Linked DNA regions of Arabidopsis thaliana. The protein of the gene in region 1 purifies or fractionates together with the protein of each later gene. This does not show direct contact. Each region holds a gene or a part of one and is shown in the gene's direction. Other genes may lie near its edges. The genes, in order: PIP2A, ABCG34 and VHA-A.

Evidence for each region.
Region 2: the proteins of PIP2A (region 1) and ABCG34 purify together in Arabidopsis thaliana (affinity purification with mass spectrometry, with the first as the bait; one large-scale study listed by BioGRID). This does not show direct contact.
Region 3: the proteins of PIP2A (region 1) and VHA-A purify together in Arabidopsis thaliana (affinity purification with mass spectrometry, with the first as the bait; one large-scale study listed by BioGRID). This does not show direct contact.

What each region holds. Positions count from the first base shown.
Region 1 is NC_003074.8:19,803,984-19,807,741, reverse strand, and holds the start of PIP2A (plasma membrane intrinsic protein 2A), read left to right. Parts: upstream 1-2,011; 5' UTR 2,012-2,287; coding exon 2,288-2,594; intron 2,595-3,062; coding exon 3,063-3,358; intron 3,359-3,485; coding exon 3,486-3,626; intron 3,627-3,716; coding exon 3,717-3,758. UniProt on the Arabidopsis thaliana protein: Water channel required to facilitate the transport of water across cell membrane. Probably involved in root water uptake. Its function is impaired by Hg(2+).
Region 2 is NC_003071.7:15,255,467-15,259,224, forward strand, and holds the start of ABCG34 (pleiotropic drug resistance 6), read left to right. Parts: upstream 1-1,951; 5' UTR 1,952-2,116; coding exon 2,117-2,505; intron 2,506-2,606; coding exon 2,607-2,727; intron 2,728-2,981; coding exon 2,982-3,155; intron 3,156-3,240; coding exon 3,241-3,531; intron 3,532-3,610; coding exon 3,611-3,701; intron 3,702-3,758. UniProt on the Arabidopsis thaliana protein: May be a general defense protein.
Region 3 is NC_003070.9:29,658,006-29,661,763, forward strand, and holds the start of VHA-A (vacuolar ATP synthase subunit A), read left to right. Parts: upstream 1-2,082; 5' UTR 2,083-2,242; exon of another isoform or gene 2,243-2,393; 5' UTR 2,394-2,457; coding exon 2,458-2,535; intron 2,536-2,787; coding exon 2,788-2,914; intron 2,915-3,024; coding exon 3,025-3,080; intron 3,081-3,160; coding exon 3,161-3,217; intron 3,218-3,323; coding exon 3,324-3,435; intron 3,436-3,522; coding exon 3,523-3,560; intron 3,561-3,689; coding exon 3,690-3,758. Other genes in the region: AT1G78895 (Reticulon family protein), read right to left, coding at 308-423, 801-870, 1,089-1,230, 1,695-1,861. UniProt on the Arabidopsis thaliana protein: Catalytic subunit of the peripheral V1 complex of vacuolar ATPase. V-ATPase vacuolar ATPase is responsible for acidifying a variety of intracellular compartments in eukaryotic cells.

The sequences.
Region 1 (3,758 bases):
ATTGGAGTGACTAAAAAGGACAAAATTTATGCATAACGACGTCATACTATATGTAACTCGATTTGTCTAGAATATTTAGATAAGGTTAAGACTAGTTTTCTATGAATAGAAGAAAGTGTAAAATATATAAATAAACATACTAATAACAATTAACAACAGAACCAGAACCAGAAAATTCACATTTCTGTGCTTTTATTATCTAAAATTCACTTCGAAAAACATGAGAAAAAAGAGTTGGCTGACGTGGAATATTCGTCTAATAGTAGCCGACCAACGTAGCCAAAACGATAAGGTTTGCCACATGGCAAAACGATAACCATGGAACTGCATCTCCTGTCTTTTGTTTGGTTGTCACAATTTGTCATTTTTATTGGGATTTATTGTTTTGTTATATTTTCGTTTTCAGTCTAATTGTCAGCAATTTTCGCAAAAGATATGAAATTTTGGATATGAAGAGAAAATGCAAATGATTGGTGGGGACAACAAACGTGGCATTATGTGAGTGGTTGAGCGAACAAACGGCTATATGCTGAGATGGATTGGACGGTGACGATACGTTTGTCGGAGGGATCGGGTCGGTTAGTCACGCGCGCCACCCATTCACGTGTCACCTTTTGCCAACACAGACCATATGATTTTAACCTCAGTGGAATCTCGACCCACCCCACAAAACGGCACCATAACTTTACACCCTGGTTTTAGAGAGTGATATACCAACACAACAATTATGAAAAAGGGTTCGTTTAGGCTTTGGTTACTTTATGTTAGTAATATCAACTTAAATGCTAATTTGAGTTATGTGTGATAAGATATACGACGAATCAATTTACTTATCGTCAATTAAGTTTGAAATGAAAGTTTGTGAACGAAATAGTTTATGCTTCTTTAATATTGTGTCATAATTTTGAGTTCCGGCTCTAACATCTTCAAGTAGGGTTTTGTTTTATGACACCTCAAACATACTTAATAACATATGTTGGTGATAGAAAACTAGACCTTCTAGACTACAAAAATGTTTATAATGTAAGAGAATGACCATATATCTATCTATTTTGAAAACAAAGTGTTTTGACTTTGGTGAACAAGAAAAATGTTCTCTATATATACAATGAGACACTCGAATATAACCATGCATGATTAGTTGGATTTGGAGTGAAGAAACTTAGCCATGCTTCGTTGGAGCAAAATAAGGTTTTGGAGTTTTGTTATGTGTTTTCAAGAATGTAAATGCTGATTCGATAAAAAAAAAAAGTGGACGTAAGTTATTTTAAAATGATTTGGCATACAAAAACTGTGGCTTTTTAAATCTGAAAAATCGACAGGCTATGATATTATACGACAAAAAGAAGAGAGCACCATATTGATGATATAGTATATTGGGTCGGTCCTAAAGAAAATGACATTTAGGTGATGGGGGCGGCGAGGCTAAGTTAAAGTAAACAAAAAAAACCTCCATTATTTACCAGAAAAACATATAAAAATTTGATTGACATAAAAACTAATAAATTATTTCAAAGTTGTGGTTCTGATAGCTCTCCACCATCACCACTGATTGATACTTCCTATTGCTACGAGAGATAAAACTATGCAAGTTTATATGAGTGGATATAAAGTCTTGTTTTATGATATCATAAGCTAGCTAATCCCATATCATTATCATGTATTTATAGACGCATGTTCAATAGATTTGGATCAATCTTTTTGTCATGGACTTGGTGCAAACTATAACGTTAAATAGAATAAACTATTCTAATTTAGGATCTAAAATAAACTCGAATCAAATTTTAAAGAAATTTACTGGCTAACTTATTTGAATTTTTCAAATTTCAACGATTGAAAAACTCTAAGTCTGAAATTAAACTAGGGTTCTTGTCTTTACGTATTAGTAACTATGTATGATATTGATATATCAAGCAATCATTAAATAGAATTGGTTCAAAATTTATTTCAGGACAGCTAGTTCATAATCATTTTGTCAAAGCTACTTCCCTCATAATAATAATAATCATAACTCACTCGTATACTTTTATATCCAATTTTTTCATTGAAAATACAAACTTTCATTCCAAAAAAAAACCTCAATACACAAAAAACCAAAAAAACATATAACGTTGGCAAAAATACTAAAAATATTTTTTAAAAGATAAAGCAATAAAAAAGTATACAAACAAATTAACAAGAAGGAGAGCTCTCACTATAAAACAGAGCACATGTTCTTCTCACTAACCACTCCAACAGAGAAGCAAAAGAAAAAAAAGCTATTGTTTGAAAGAAGAAGAAGTTAACTATGGCAAAGGATGTGGAAGCCGTTCCCGGAGAAGGATTTCAGACAAGAGACTATCAAGATCCGCCACCAGCTCCGTTTATTGATGGAGCGGAGCTAAAGAAGTGGTCTTTCTACAGAGCAGTTATCGCAGAGTTCGTAGCCACTCTCCTCTTCTTATACATCACCGTTTTGACAGTCATCGGTTACAAGATTCAGTCCGATACTGATGCCGGTGGCGTAGATTGCGGCGGAGTTGGAATCCTCGGTATCGCTTGGGCCTTTGGTGGTATGATCTTCATCCTCGTCTACTGCACCGCCGGTATCTCTGGTATGATCCTTCTTTAATCTTGATTTTGGTTTGGTTTAGATTAAGATTATACACTTTTTGAGTATTAGAATTACAATTAAACCGAATAAGCTGAATAAGTTTTACTTATGTAAGTACAACTTGCAAACTCAAAATTTAGACAAGTAAAAATTATATGGTATGGTTTTGGTTTGTTTATTCGAAATTAATTATTTTGCAAGGAAAAATATTGCTTGGTTGACATTACTATTTAATCGGTTTAAAATCTTAGGTTTAAAAGACGAAAATGATTTGTTTATAAAACATTTAATAAGGGTCATGATCAAATCGGTTCTTATCCGAATGATATATATCTAATCTAAGCCTAGTAATTATTTTAAGCAACTGACTAACCCTGTCTTAACCAGAATTGAAACCGGTTAATTAATTGCTTGTTGTACCTTAATTCTCAAGTACTGGTAACATTGTCAACTCTTTTTGTTTCCTTAGGTGGTCACATTAACCCAGCGGTGACATTTGGGCTATTCTTGGCACGTAAAGTGTCGTTACCTAGGGCCCTATTGTACATAATCGCTCAGTGTTTGGGTGCGATTTGTGGAGTTGGTTTTGTCAAAGCCTTCCAAAGCTCTTACTACACCCGTTACGGAGGTGGAGCCAACTCTCTAGCCGATGGCTACAGCACAGGGACCGGTCTAGCCGCAGAGATCATTGGTACTTTCGTTCTTGTCTACACCGTCTTCTCTGCCACTGACCCCAAACGTAGTGCCAGAGACTCCCACGTTCCGGTGAGTCACATATGTAGTGCTATTAATCTTCAATATGGTTAACCGACTCAAAACCGGAACCAAAGCAAACCAAACCAACATTTGATTTCAATCATACTAATAAATTTGAATTTTGATGAAATAAAAGGTGTTGGCGCCACTTCCAATCGGATTTGCCGTGTTCATGGTACATTTGGCTACCATTCCCATTACCGGAACCGGAATTAACCCGGCAAGGAGTTTCGGAGCTGCCGTAATCTACAACAAGAGCAAGCCATGGGATGACCACGTAAGACCTCAACGTTTCTCCATTACATTCAACTATATTTTTCATTTTTACAAGGGAATAATGTTTTGAAATTTTGGTGATTACAAACAGTGGATATTTTGGGTTGGACCATTCATTGGAGCTGCGATAGCT
Region 2 (3,758 bases), on another chromosome or scaffold:
AAGAATTAAACTCATATAAGAATTGAACTTTCCTAATCGAAGTCAGTGCAGCCTTTAAACTCAGAAGTTCAACGTGCGATATTTGCAAGCCTGACACCTCAAACTTATTCACACTGAGAATGCATGGTCGACCATCTGAGGTCATGTTTTGTCATTGTTCGGCTAACGAAAGCACTATCAAACAAACAACAATTTGTAAAGAGAACCAGAACTAACCAAAAATATCAAACGTAATGCTGTTAAAAGACAAAACAAAAAAATTCGATTGCATTTGGTGTCCAATTAAGATGAAACTTGAGAGTACCTTCCCGATGAATTTAGCTCTATCTATGCATCGTAGTTTATACTGTTAAAATGAAATTGTGGTAGTTTCATGTATTTGTTAAAGTGGAAATAACCCTATTAAAAATGCCCAACAATATTACATGTCGTCATGCGCAAAGACTTTAATCTTTTTTTTTCAACTGAATTTTCTAAATTTCCCTTAAAAAATATTTTAGTTTTCCCCCCCATTTTATTATGATATTTATGACACAAGCAATTACATCACTACGAATAGACACGAGAGACACGTTCAATCCGTAATATTAGTATATTACTTTGTTTAAATTAGACACACTACCTACAATATCAACAAAATTAAACTAATCAAATCATCACAGAATTTGTAAAATTGTAACTCAACGAGATAATGCTATAAGAATCCACCGTTTGCGGCAAAATCACTAATTTTTTTTTTTTTTTTTAATTGAAATTGAAAGCATAACTTCGTTGGAAGAAATTATGCGATGGAATTTAATTATTTTTTACAATTCACACACATTCCAAATCCTCAATTTGAATTTTAAAACGACAGAAAACAAAAATTAATAGGCAACAATTTTGATTTAGTACAAAATAATTCCGTTGGAGGAATTTCAGTTGATACTTAAGTAAAAGATCATGCATGTGTTAGATTTTAATGCAATTTTATTAAAAAAGCACCTTGAAAACTTTTAATAGTATGGACGACTTACCATTTACTTACGATTATGAACATAGCAAACAGTTAGACGGATTATGTTGAATGTTGATCGTCTGATCACCATACAATGTAGATTTCTTACACCTAATAACACGACTGTACTATGTAGCAATAAACGTCTGAACAGTAGGTGACAATCCATCAACTCATTTGGACATCCATTATCAAAACTAAATATATGTAAAGCAGACTAAATATTGGACTAACTAATTTTACTAAAATATTCACCTAAACTAATTACACTGAAAGCTAGGAAATACATCTTAATTATATATATATATACGTCTATATTTATTTTGTTTATAAAATAACTATGATATGTTACAAACAATATAATATAAATAAGATATACTAATTCATCAGAAATTCAATGTTATTCTTCATAGTAATTTATTAAAATAAATTCATAAGAAGTTATCTGATACAAATATGTAACACGCACATATATCACATCAATTCAACATTTTATCTTTCCTATATATAGTATTGAATTTTATTTGATATTTTCTATCTAATTGAGATCGATTTAAATATAGAACTAAATTTTTTCAGTATATTTTATCGAAATGATGTAAAATAAATCATATTTACCATTTACGTCTGAACAGTAGGTGGCAATCCATCAACTCATTTAGACATCAATAGTCAAAAACAAATATCTGTAAAACAGACTAAATGTTGGACTAACTAATTTTACTAAAAAAAATTATATGATACAAATAACTAACAAACACATATATCAATTCAACATTTCATTTTTGCTATAGATAGTAATTAATTTTATTTGGGATTTTATAACTAATTGAAATCGATATATATATAGCTAGTAATTCTTTTTAAGTATTTTCTATCGGAAAATAATATAAAATACTATTTAAATCATATTTAACAGTTGTTAGTCTTACTAGACAAAAGAAAACAGACAAAAAAAAAAATTGTATTATAAATAAAAAAAATATTGTCACTCGAAGCCTTTAAACTCGCCTCTTCTCTCTTCTCTCTCACTCCAGAGTTTCTCTCTCCCCTTTAAATGGTCGCCGGAAACTAAATCGTCTCGAACATTCATTAGTAAAACCGGACGACTCAGCGGCGATGTTAGGACGAGATGAAGATCTGGTCCGAACAATGAGCGGGAGAGGAAGTTTAGGCTCCACAAGTCACCGGAGTTTAGCCGGAGCTGCTTCAAAAAGCTTCAGAGATGTGTTTGCTCCCCCAACGGACGACGTGTTTGGTCGGAGCGATAGACGAGAAGAAGATGACGTGGAGCTCCGATGGGCGGCGCTTGAGAGATTACCGACTTACGATCGGTTAAGAAAAGGTATGTTGCCGCAAACGATGGTCAACGGTAAGATTGGACTTGAAGATGTTGACGTCACGAATCTTGCTCCTAAGGAGAAGAAACATCTTATGGAAATGATTCTGAAATTCGTTGAAGAAGATAACGAAAAGTTTCTTCGGCGATTGAGAGAAAGAACTGACAGGTCAGATTTTCAGACAAAACCAAAAACAAGAACAACAACTCTTTTTTTTTATTACAACTTTTGTCTCGTCTGACAAATTTTTTTTTTTTTTTTTGAAACAGAGTGGGAATCGAAGTTCCGAAAATTGAAGTAAGGTATGAGAATCTTTCAGTGGAAGGAGATGTTCGTAGTGCAAGCAGAGCTCTTCCTACTCTCTTCAACGTCACTTTGAATACAATCGAGGTTCAGTTTTTTTTTTTTTTTATTGGATTAACTTTGTCTTGTTCAATGTTGTTGAGAAGATCTAAAAAAGATAAAACCTAACTTTACCGCTTTTTGTGTCTTGGCATAAATTTTTAACCTTTTTGGGATTTAGTCTTGTCGGGTCCAAATTAGATATCTTTAAAATGTCAAACTTTATGTGTGAATGTCAAAATTGCATGTAACTGTTGATCTCTTTAATTTACTTAAGATTCTTGTGGTTCTTTGTAAAACAGAGTATTCTTGGATTATTCCACCTGCTTCCATCTAAGAAGAGGAAGATTGAGATTCTTAAAGATATAAGTGGCATTATCAAACCATCAAGGATGACTTTATTACTTGGTCCACCTAGTTCAGGGAAAACAACTTTGTTACAAGCTTTAGCTGGGAAGCTTGATGACACTCTCCAGGTTTGTTTTGTTGTCTATCATATTTATATTATTTATATGTATGTAAGCTCTTGGTTGAGTTAACATTTTCCGGGGTCTGTGACAGATGTCTGGGAGGATAACTTACTGCGGTCATGAGTTTCGTGAGTTTGTTCCTCAGAAGACTTGTGCTTACATTAGTCAGCATGACCTTCACTTTGGAGAAATGACTGTGCGAGAGTCATTGGACTTTTCGGGACGATGTTTAGGTGTTGGGACTCGGTACCAGCTTTTGACTGAGCTCTCAAGGAGGGAGAGAGAAGCTGGAATTAAGCCTGACCCTGAGATTGATGCATTTATGAAATCCATTGCTATATCTGGCCAAGAAACTAGTTTGGTTACAGACTATGTACTTAAGGTACATCTTTTTTGCATGCTTCTGTCTTATTCTAACAAACAATTTTTGACCTTATCCTTGGTTTAATGCCACTTGACAGTTACTTGGTCTGGACATTTGTGCTGACACACTTGTTGGAGATGTGATGAGACGAGGTATTTCTGGTGGACAGCGGAAACGTCTAACAACAGGTACAACTTATGTTCCCTTTGATATTCCCATGGTTCCTTCAGTGAATATGTGTTCTT
Region 3 (3,758 bases), on another chromosome or scaffold:
TATAACAGTTTGTTGAATCGTGTGTATATATATTTCCGCATAAGCTCGCAGATTCGGTTCTCATACCACATTTGCAGACTGTTTTGTATGATGATGCCTTGAGTCCAAAATTAACGTGAAAAGAGAATACAATTATAGATATAGGATCGGCAAGTACATGGTGTGGAGGTTAAACAATATCATTACATTTTTCACAAGGTAGTATGCAACAAATCCAATGTACATAAGGGGAAACTACTCTGAAGACTGAAGCTATGAGCATGTAAGCATGAGAAAAGACGAAAAGTATAAACAAAAGCTAGACATATTATGTATCAGAATGTGCTTCTTGTTCTAAAATCTGGCCATTTCCTCGCTTTAGTACACAGTTTCCAAGAGATTGAGAAGTCTGACAGAGCATGGAGAGACAGAACAAGCATAGTCCTGTTTCAGGGAGAAGAACTAGTCAGAGATCATTGGTTTGCAATATTTGACACAGGCAAGACGAAGGGTTTCCCAAATGGCCAACTTTTGTTAAATGCTAAGAAATCCGACATATTGGTATGTAATGCTACTCATAAGGTAACAGCTCACTCTTCCACATTAAAATGAAACTTTGTATAAGTTTGAGACAAAATGTGAATGCTTTATAATTCCATGAAATGCTACTTATAAGGTAAGAGCACACTCTTCCACATTAGAATGAACTTTGTATAAGTTTGAGACAAAATGTGAATGCTTTAAAATTCAATGAAATACTACACTCTTCCACATTAAAATGAAACTCTGTATAAATTTGAGATGAAATGTGAATGCTTTACCTGCATAAGCAACGGTTACACCTGATATGAGTCGCCCAAGCGCTGATAAGAAGTAAAGGCAAATTACGACCTAAAGGAAAAAGCAAAAAACAAACATATTCAGTATAGAGCACAATTACTGAGTTAACAATTAGCAATGCATTTATATGGTAACTGGGTAAAGACACTAGGGTTCTAAGAGAATCTCTGTGGTGATATATTGATGCTAATGCATTTTGATACACTCATGATCCAAGAATAGTAACGGTATCTTGTACATAGTAAGTTGGTAACAAAGGACACACTTACCTTGACAAAAAGTCTCTTGTCATGTCCAGTTGCTGCAACCCTCAGAACACCCTCTGCTGCTCCAACGGTATTAGCTAAGCGTGCAACGATGTTACTTGCTGTGTCCTGTGATATTTGCCACTCTAGTGGATCCACTGGTACCCTTTAGAAAAGTTATAGGATTGTAAATCATGTGGTATGATAAAGCAAGGGTCTTGAAGAGTTATACACACAATGAGCAGAAGATAATGATATCATTGAACATTCTAGGATTATGACTATGCATTGATCACAGAGAACGGAAGATGATAGTAATCAAATAAGATCGATGCATCATTGATTCACCCAGAAATACAATGAGAACTAGTTTCAGTTCATGCCTTCAGAGAATACATGAAATCAATTTCATAATCAAGTTAACATAACTGATTGCACAACCACATTACAAAGTACAACCCAATTAAACAATTATATCGAGCAAGTATTCAAACTTGTCACAAATCAAAGGAGCCAACAAATTTCGTATCTACTCGGTCACCAAACAGCAAATGACTAAATCAGAGACCAAAGAACAAAATCCAATACCGTAACCAGAGAGATTTAGGCGAAAAATGTGAGGGAACTTACGAGACATTGAGTTGGCGAAAAAGGAGACCGAGAATGGCGAGAGAGCATAAGAGAACAATGAAAACATCGGAGAAGAGAGAGAGAAGAGTCGCGTTACGATATGCACAATGGTAATACACAAGCGTCCCGCTAATCAGCAATCCCATCGCCTTCCCCATTTCTCCCATCTCTCTCCCCACTTCAAAAAAAACTTGCTTTCCCTTTCTTCACTTTCAGAAAATTTCCCCGAGAAAACAAAACTGATCACTTTTGTGAATTTTCCGGCTTGATCAGAGAGAGAGAGAGATTCTCAAGCCGCATGTCTTTGTTGACTAAACGGACCCACTTATTGGGCCGTAAGTATATATTATAAAGCCCAATAAATAAACTGTCACGTGGCTATTAACGACAAAGTCCAGATCTACGCGCGTATCGTGTGTAGTCATGTACCGGATCACTCCACGATTTCGTCAATCAGATCAAAACTTCTCCAACTCTTTCAATATCTATCTACGTGCATCCACCTCTCTCTTCTTCTTCTTGTGACCACTCTTCCTGTCTGTTCACTGGTTAGGAGATCTCTATCCCTCTCTCTCTGATCCTTTTTGTTTCTTTCTGATTTATTGTATCGCTCTCTTTGAAAAACCTTAAGAGTTGTCTGATTTTGGCGATTTCTGATTTGTTGTTGTTGTTGTTTGATCGGATCTCGGCATTTTCTAGGAGGTGAATTTTGATTTTTTTGGCCGATCGGATTTGAGTTTTTGAATCTCTGATTGCTGAGAAAATGCCGGCGTTTTACGGAGGAAAGCTTACGACCTTCGAGGACGATGAGAAGGAGAGCGAGTATGGTTACGTTCGTAAGGTATTATCCTGTTTCGTTCGATCTGGTTTCAATTTGTTTTTTTTTCTGTTTTGCGATGTTAGTTTTTGGTGATGGATAGATGAAATAGTTGATCTGCTTACCAGGTAAGATTGGTGGGATAGCTAGATTTGATCTGATAGTTATCAGTGATTGAATCGGTTGATTCCGCGTTGGTTCAGTAACCTCGTCTTTGAATTTCTGATCTGATCTGATAGTTCTCAGTGATTTGACATTTTCTTTTATGGGATGCAGGTTTCAGGTCCTGTTGTTGTTGCCGATGGTATGGCCGGTGCTGCTATGTATGAGTTAGTGCGTGTTGGTCATGATAATTTGATTGGTGAAATCATCCGTCTTGAAGGAGATTCTGCCACCATCCAAGGTTTGTTTCTTCTATTGTGCTTCCTAGTGTAATTTACTTTACGGCATCTTATGTGACCTCTGTCGAAGTAAGATATCTTAACTGATATTTGGCAACTTCCTTTTGATCAGTTTACGAGGAAACAGCTGGATTGACAGTTAATGATCCCGTTCTTCGAACACACAAGGTTCGCGAGTTATTTATCTTGGTTTTTTCTAGTGTTGTTCATCTGCAGCTAACATATAATTTGTCCTGAATTTACTACAGCCACTTTCTGTGGAGCTCGGGCCAGGAATATTGGGAAATATCTTTGATGGAATTCAGGTTCAGTTGGATTTATAATCTTGCTAGACATGATTTTTTTTACTTTTATGATTCGTTTTATGTGGCTTCTTACGATTCTTTGGTTTCATTTCTTTAAATGTCACAGAGGCCTTTGAAGACTATTGCAAGAATATCCGGTGATGTGTACATTCCTCGGGGTGTGTCTGTTCCAGCTCTTGACAAAGATTGTCTTTGGGAGTTCCAGCCCAATAAATTTGGTAATGTGGTTTACTCCATATGCCTGTCTATGGAAGTGTTCATTTGGTTTTAATCTTGATGGTCAATTGAATTCGTTTTGTTTGCAGTCGAGGGAGACACAATAACTGGTGGTGACTTGTATGCTGTAAGTTTATTGGTCTCCTCTTTAATCTGCTTTTGACAAGGGAATCTATTTACACAGTTACCGTGGTGTTTCCCTTGTTTACACTGGGAATAGTTTTTTCTGAAAGTCAAATTAAACTTTGGAATGCAGACTGTCTTTGAGAACACTTTGATGAATCACCTCGTTGCCCTTCCTCCGGATGCCATGGGGAAGATCACT